Coturnix japonica: one gene and its partner. Each later gene encodes a partner of the first gene's protein in a complex. Links are inferred from orthologs where the notes say so. Each region holds a gene or a part of one and is shown on either strand. Other genes may lie near its edges.

Region 1 (4,121 bases):
GCAACTCAATGATGGCCATGCAGACTGACTTACCAGCTGTGTTCTGCCACACACTTTAATGTTAGTTCTCAGATATGGATGTTCTGGAGATTGTTTTCATAGAATCATAGAATTACCCAGGTTGGAAAAGACCTTGAAGATCAAGTCCAACAGCAGCCTAACCATAGTACCCTAACTCTAACAACCCTTTGCTAAATCATATCCCTGAGCACCATATCCAAACGGCTCTTAAACACATCCAAGGATGGCAATTCAACCTCCTCCCTGGGGAGCCTATTCCAGTACTTAAATACCCTCTCTGTAAAGAAGTGCTTCCTAATATCCAACCTAAACTTGCCCTGGTGCAACTTGAGGCCATATTCAGGTTTTATTGAGGTTTTATTCAGGGCTATTCTAGACCTGGCAACTGCATGTCCTATCCTATTAAAAAGGTTAATACAGTAAGCAGGTCTTTTCCAATCTTGGTGATTCTTTGATTCGGGTTATTTTATTTTTTTAACTGACATTTTCAACAAGAAAAGAAGGAATACTTGATCCAGTAATTAACTGGAAATTGGCAGGTGGTCTTGAAAAATACAATATTGTTGGATTATTAAAGATGTTTGTATAACTGAAAAAAGTCTGAGTGCTAATACTGACATTCTGGTTTCTCTGGCAAGAGAACAAAGCAGACCCAGCTTTCACTTGACTGTCTCCTTTTCACATGTAAAGGCAAATTAAACAGTGCTATAACTGGGGCTGTGTGTTAGTTGCTAGTAGGGACCAGGCTAGTAGGCACCACATTTTTCTCCACTGTTTTTAGCATTTTGAATATTTCTTGGTCTTCTAAAAACTCAGATGTAATTCACTGTGTTCTGAAGCCACTAACTTGAACATGGGGATTTTTCCTGCTCATTATAGAGGACGAAACAGCACAACCAAACATATTCTTGATGTGAATATGGGCCTATTATATGGACTAAAAAATGAAATAAAATATAAAAGAATTGATCATTCTACAGAATACAGAGAAAGAAGTTATATGAAGAACAGATGTTGTAGCCCCACGAATCTGGCATTCTTACGCGTTCAACAGCTTCAATCACAGACATTCTATCATTCTGAAATCCTGCATTTAAAGGCTCAGAAACTATTAACCTTTCAAATTTTCCCTTCTCAAGGACATGCTTTCAGATACTGCTTTTGAAGAATTTAACTTGTAGCACTTAAATTTTCTAGCTGTTTGCAAGAACATTAAAAACCAGATAATCTCCCTAACAAAACAGAAAAAAAAAAAAGTAATAACTTTTGGTTGGAATCAAGCCCGTTGTGAGATTCAGCTTTGCCACTCATTGCATTTCTCTTAATAAGCAGTATCAACCTTAATTTCATTTCTGTAACACATACTGAACAGTCAGCAGTGATTAAATCTCATCCCTTCAATATTCTCAAATAAGTATATATTTGACAGATGATCTTCCTAATAGCTTGTACTTGCCATAAAAAGTAAAGCAGATGGCTTAAATAAGATTGTCTAAGACAGTGCAAGTGCCAACCTGTTGGTATAAGACTACGGTAAAGCTGAGAACAAGTGTCACATAAGCTGGTCCTATGTGATATCTGTACTGGTTATATATTGGTATCAAATCAGATACCAAAACCAAGTTATTATGCAAGTCTATAGAAGTGTGATTGAAACAATCTTTAATACCCACATTCACTGAATGCAAAATTGTTCTGTCAAACTATTAGTCCAAGGACAATAACCAAAATTGTTTTTGTTGACCAAAATGCACTAATACCCAAACAGTAAATTCTAACAGCATTTCATAAATGTGAAGCAATGGAACGTCCATCACTGTATCATTGGTTTCTTAAGGGCCAAAGGTTCCTTGCCATCCCTTGCTCAGCCCTACACTAGCACGTGTGTTCTGGAAGTCTGTCTCCTCATAGAGAATCACAGAGCACACTGAGCAGGCTGTTCCTCCCAGCTTTTCCAAATCACAGAATGCCTTAGGTTGGAAGAGACCTTAAAGATCACCCAGCTCCAATCCCCTCCCCATCCATGGGCAGGGCTGACACCCACTTGAGCAGGCAGCCCAGCCAACCTGGCCTTGAACCCCTCCAATGTGCATTCCAGTGCCTGATTAAGGGCCTTACTCAAACCGTGCTCTGACACCACTATCCCCCCTCCGCACCCTTTGCTCAGTACGGGGGTAAAGAACCTGCAACAAGTTTACAATCATACTTAGTAATATTATTAACGCTGATCAGCCTCCAATTCAGCAATTCCTTCGCCTCTCAGTGCTTGTCTCTCCAAGCTGTATGACACCCCAGTTCATACGGACCCGGCATATACGGACCCGCCATACCGTGTGACACAAGAAACAGATGTGCAATAAGGCACAACTCGGCACTACAAAGACTCGCCCACTCGTTCCGGAGCCGACCTACATGGCAGCCCAGGGCTCGTGGGCACCGAGGGGACGCGGCCATGGAAGCCCGGATCCCCAGCCTGGAGTTACGGGAGCCGGGTGCGGGGGGTGGGGCTGGGATCCCTCCGGCCGCCACATCAGCTCCGGCTCCCGGCCCACATCCGCCTGGGGCCAGCGCTGCCCCGACTCTCTCTGCGGCCCTTCAGGAGCCACTCTCTCGCCCCGGCTCCCCGGGGAGGGCTGCCCGCCGCCTTCCCCCTGCCCCGGCCGCCCGCTGCCCGCACTCACCACCTCCCGTGCCCGCCCGGTGAAGTCGCTCCTAGAGCGGGCAGCGCTGCGCTTGAGCAGCTCATCCCGAGCGCTGTCGCCAGCCGCCACCCCCAGCGCCTTATTGCGGGTCTTCACCGTCTTCACGCTGGCTTTGAAGAGCAGGGTGATGTCCACCGCCATGGCGGCCAGCCCGGCCCCGTCCACCGGTGCCTCCGCGTTTTGCCTTCCCCGAGCAACGCGGCCCCGCGCAGCGCGTTCCGCTCGGTCGGCTCCAGGGATGGGTGCGGTGGGAAGGGAGCATCGCGGTGTTGCTGTGCGGGGATCCTGCTCTGCTGCCTCCCATCGCGGAGCGAAAGATTGAGGAATAAAATCTATATTCCAGCCAAATTCTGACGTGTGGATCGCCGAGCTGTGGTGTCGCGGCAGGTGTCACCAGGTGGTGCTGTTAGACAGAGTCATCCAAGCCGTCGGCCTTGGAATTCAGTCTAGGAAAGAAGGGTTAATTGGAGTTGATTAATGGGCTTCAGCAGGTTTGCACCAGGGGATGGGTTTTGTGCTGCTGTGAAATTTCCATTGGAGATGGCCGTACGTGTATTAATATATTGATTATTGGTTATTTCATAGAATCATTGAGGTTGGAAAGGACCCTTAAAGGCCATCTAGTCCAGCTCCCCTGCAATGAACAGAGACACCTACAGCTCCATCAAGTTGCTCAGAGCCTGTTCCAGCCTGAGCTTAAGTGTCCCCAGGGATGGGACAGCCACCACATTTCTGGGCAACCTCTACCAGTGCCTGACCACCCTCACTGTAAAAGATTTTTTCCCTATATCCAATCTAAATCTCCCTTATTTTAGTTTGAAATCATTTCCCCTTGTTCTTTCACAACAGATACTGCTAAAGAGTCTGTCTCCTTTCTTACAGCTCCCATTTAGATACTGACAGGCCACCCTCAGGTCTCCCCCAGGGCCTTCTCTTCTATAGGCTGAACAGCCCCAGCTCTCTCAGCCTGTCCTCATGTGTTCATGTAGGCCCACAGCTTGAGTCTTTCTGGGTCTCTCTGGAGTGCTATGTTTCTTCTTGAACACAATAGATAGAACAACTTCAATACACCTGTAATGTGTGTAGTGATTTCTGTGCCTGTTAAGGCCCTTGAGATCTACTGCCATTCCACATTTGGTCAGTATCACTGGTACTCCAAGGACAAACCCTGCAGGGAGCTACAATGCACAGCTATTATTAATTTGACTGAATCAGAGGAAAGCTTTCTGAAATACCCTTTGCTATTATTTTAGTTGTGGCAATTTCATTACCATGTGCTGTGCAGAAGATAAGTGACTGGAAAGGAAACTGTGTGGCACAGCAGTGAAAACTTCTGACCAAATAACTAGTGGTGGTAGTGAGTGTATGCTATATTATACTTTAGGATCCCACAGACTT
Region 2 (3,968 bases), on another chromosome or scaffold:
GTATCTCTGGGAGGGGAATGTCTTGGATCCTGCCACAAAGACAGGCTTTTACCTTGTGTATTTAGGGGCATCCCATGTGTTCCCACATATATACAGACATACCGCACCTTGTAAGGTCACCCTGTGTTCCCCTCCCAGCCCCAATTATACCCCACAGTCTCTCCCCACCCCAGTGATCGATGCCAATCCCATGTTGTCCCTGCAGCCCCCATGACGTGTCACATCATTCCATTCCCTTGGTGACATCCCCCTGCACTAGGGACATGCTGCACGCAGCCCATGTGTCACAGTTGAGGACAATAAATTAAATGCATGCAAGTTAAGCCTTGTCCCTGTGTTTGAATGCCTGGGGGTGGGAATGTATGGGGCCCTATGGGTTGGGTGCAGAGGAGCACTTGAACACCTGAGTTCCTGCTAGGTAGTAGGGGGATGAGGGCATACCCAGCCCAGGCACACGTTTATTGGGGTCATGCTGGATTAAGTCACACATTGATCATTCCAAAGTTTATAAATCATTACAGCCTAAACTTTGCAGCTTCCAAACCTCTGATTTATTAAACCTGTATTGATAACCATCTGGATTTGTCAGATATGCCAGGTATTAGTAATGGAGGTAAGACAAAAGTATCCCTTAAGAACTGGCTGCAAGACATGGATGAGACGAGAGATATAGGCATGAACATCAAAATCAGGTGATATGTGGAAATCCAGTTAGAATGGTCTTTGCAGGGCAGGCAGCTGCCAAGGAAAGGTGACAGATGTGATGCTGCAGGAGCTGAACAACAGTGGCATCACCCAGGGGCTGACTGAGCTCTTCCAGGTCTGGGTGCTGCAGGGTCTATATGTGCGGTGGGATGTGTCATCCAGAGCAGCCTGGTGGATGTGCTGTCAGTGAAATACTCATTTTACCTCCAAGACCAGCCAGAATGGTGACAAAACACTGGTTAAAAGTTATCTGGAATGTCTGTTGGGAAGTCCCAAGGATCCCAAAGCAGGGCAGATCTAGAAAGGCGCTGAACAAGTCTGTCAATCACATTGATTTAGTTCAGTAAAACTACGCAAGAACCAAGATCAAGTCCCAGCTTTGGACACAAGATAGTAGAGGATGAAGAAAACAACAACCAGTCCTACAGAAACAAAGCAGAGTAACTTGCGGTTCTCCCTCCCAGAGCGTGTCATGGTGCTGAATCGCTTCATGCTGCCGGTCAGCAGCCCAGTAGCACTCAGAAAATCCGAATCCTAGAGGAGAAACAAAGTGCAAAAAGCAGCATTTCAAACTGGAGAGGCAGCCCATGAGGAGGGTCCAGCTTCCTGCTTAAAGAACAACTGCAGCAGCTGCGCTGTAACTGCCTGTATCTCTGTACCTATCGTGTCTCTCTTATGAGGAACTTCCCTGCCTGCGCTCGTGGCAAAGGCACAGGTAAATACTGCATACCAAGTATCTCTACATAAAGCTAGCACCGTTAATGCCTGCCAGGGCAGGCTAAAAAGCACCAAAACCACGCAGTTTCTTTCCATTAGTTCTCTTTTTTTTCTTTCAGCATGGGGCAGCATACACTTGTAACACCACCAGGTGGCAGCAAACAAGTCTTAAAGCAATTCATTATCATTTCGACTCCACGTCTGTTTTCCTTTCTCATAAACTACCTCCCACTTTTTGCTCACGTTTCTCCTGAAATATCCCTAAATCTTCTCTAATAGAAGCACAATTGCGTGCTGATTCGGGGCTTCTCCTTTAAGATCTCTTGTCTTTACATCTCTCATTCCAACTCTCCACTCTTTTGATTTCTAGGCTGAACAAATATCCAGTTCAGATACTCCAAGGCCATACACTGCTATTAAGGTTCCAAGCTATTAAGCTTCCAAGCTCCCACCTTTGACCAAACTGGTCCCAACATTGAAATTCATGCTTTTTACCCTTCTTTTTTGGTTCCTTACCATGCTATCCAGGTAACGGTTCTGTTCATCAGCATCTTTATCAATATCCAGAGCCAGCTACACAGCATAAGAGAGGAAATTGACGTTAATGAACACCAAGACAACCTGGAACGCATCTAGGCCCACACTAGAGGATGTGGTGGAGGTTTGTTAAGCACAGCCACAAAACAAGGCCTCTCACTCACTGCAGTTTGGGGTTGTGGGAATCCTTTTGCTGTGGAAATAATCTGGGAAAGCTGGCAGAAACTTCCCTATGTTGGACATATGACAACAGCTGACGGACCAGCACTGCCTCCTACTGCTACACGTCAGCCATCGTATGCCCACAGCACTGAGGAAGCCCACACAACTGCGTTGTCCCTGAGACCCTGCAAGCGTCCATAGCAGCGCCAGCAACTCACCGACTTCAGCCTGGTGACTTTGCTGGCCAGGTTGTCTGTCATGCGCTTGTTCTCCACGTCCAGCATATCCTCCATAGCAACCGCATTCTGTCCTGAGGAGAAAAGAAACGCGTCTCATCATCCCGACTGGGGAGCATGGCACATCCCCAAGATGGCGGCGGGGTGCCCCAAGATGGCGGCGGGGCGCCCCCTTTAGCAGCCCCTCAGCGCGCCCCTCACTCCTTCCCCCTCACCTCGCCCCCAGTCCGCCATGGCGGCACACGGCGAAAGGCGGCTCCGCCCGGCAGGAGGAGCTCCGCCTCTGTAAAATGGCCGCTGGGCCTTCGCCTTCCCTGTTGGGTAGTGAGGAGCGGGGAGCTATTACGGGAAGCACCGTGATCTGCTGCGGTAATCCTCGGGTGGGGAGGGGGGGGTGTCCCAGCGCTGTGCTGGGAGGGCATGCATTAAACGTCGGAAAGCAAAGAGGAAAGAAGAGGATTAGAGGGGCAGAGAGGCTGTACGTGGTTCACCCGTCTGCTTTATGGACGCAGCAGTGAGCCGGCTCGCTTGATTTTTGTTTCTTTTTCCCCACCCCCTTTCTCACTGCCTCTCAGTTCTCAAGGATCGAGGTCCCTTTGCACCGCTGTTATCCAGGAGCTCTGGAAGCCTTTCCTCTCTGCTTCCCATCCTGCTGTAGCTGAGCTGTTGGTATCATGGAGCTCAGGACCGTAGTGGCCACGGTGGAAAGCGGGGAGCAAGACGCGGTCCTCAAGGTGCTTCAGATCTACAACCAGGAGGTGAGTGAGCATCACACCTCAGCCTGATGTCACCTGCTGCTGTCAGCAAGCCTGGAAGCAGGTTGGGCCGTGTTATGGGTTCACAGTGCTGCCCAGCTATCCCATCTCCTCTGAGCATCTGTCTCTGCATTATTGCCCTGGAGATGTCATAGACTGCTTTGTTTTGTTACTTGCAAGCTGCTTCTTAATGATGCTTTACTAGGAAGCAGCTAAGAAGCCTCCCTTTATCTTGTTTATGCTGGAAGAAAAGTACATGGGAAGGATTTTCTTTATTATCCAGATTGCAAGTTAAACCCGGTAGGGGAATAATCATGGGCATGAGGAGTAGGAGGAGCCTTGATGCTAGGCAAGGTTTGGAGGTAATAAAACTCACACCTAGGGAGGAGCTGCAGGTAGGATTGTTGTGATTTGTAAGCAAAAGACAATTAGGAGTTGGTGTGAATGGATGCTGGGATTGGATTAGGGTGCCTGATCTGAAAGCTGGCGCATGAAATAATGAGTGTAGAACATGAAAAAGACCGGGTCAGGAAGCTGAAGTGCGAGTGACTCTAACCTTAGATCATCTGCAGGGGTAGTTCCCTTTTGAAACTGTCTGCCAGGGAAATTTCCTTCAGAGGGTTTCCACCAGGCTAGGGCTGGCCCTGCAGATCTGTGACTCATTCTGCACCATTCTGAAGTAGGAGGGAAGCTGGTGGGGAAAACCTGTGCTTATCTTACAAGCATGTGCACTTCCCTTCCTGCACTAACTGTTTCCAGCAGTCGGTTTTGAAACAGCAGGTCCCTTTTAAAAGGTTGGTCTGCAGGATTAGCGTTGCTGGCAGCAGCTGGTGTGCTGGAGAAATTAGGATAGTAA

What was found. The genes of interacting proteins can lie anywhere in the genome.
Region 2: STX18 (region 1) and BET1L share a complex: the UniProt entries of both Homo sapiens proteins name them as parts of the SNARE complex. The link is inferred for Coturnix japonica from reciprocal best matches to the Homo sapiens genes STX18 and BET1L.

What each region holds. Positions count from the first base shown.
Region 1 is NC_029519.1:71,390,218-71,394,338, forward strand, and holds the start of STX18 (syntaxin-18), read right to left. Parts: upstream 2,927-4,121; 5' UTR 2,865-2,926; coding exon 2,703-2,864; intron 1-2,702. UniProt on the Homo sapiens protein: Syntaxin that may be involved in targeting and fusion of Golgi-derived retrograde transport vesicles with the ER.
Region 2 is NC_029520.1:1,402,022-1,405,989, reverse strand, and holds BET1L (BET1-like protein), read right to left. Parts: upstream 2,716-3,968; 5' UTR 2,592-2,715; coding exon 2,573-2,591; intron 2,432-2,572; coding exon 2,340-2,431; intron 1,996-2,339; coding exon 1,939-1,995; intron 1,240-1,938; coding exon 1,072-1,239; 3' UTR 529-1,071; downstream 1-528. Other genes in the region: RIC8A (synembryn-A), read left to right, coding at 3,032-3,115. UniProt on the Homo sapiens protein: Vesicle SNARE required for targeting and fusion of retrograde transport vesicles with the Golgi complex. Required for the integrity of the Golgi complex.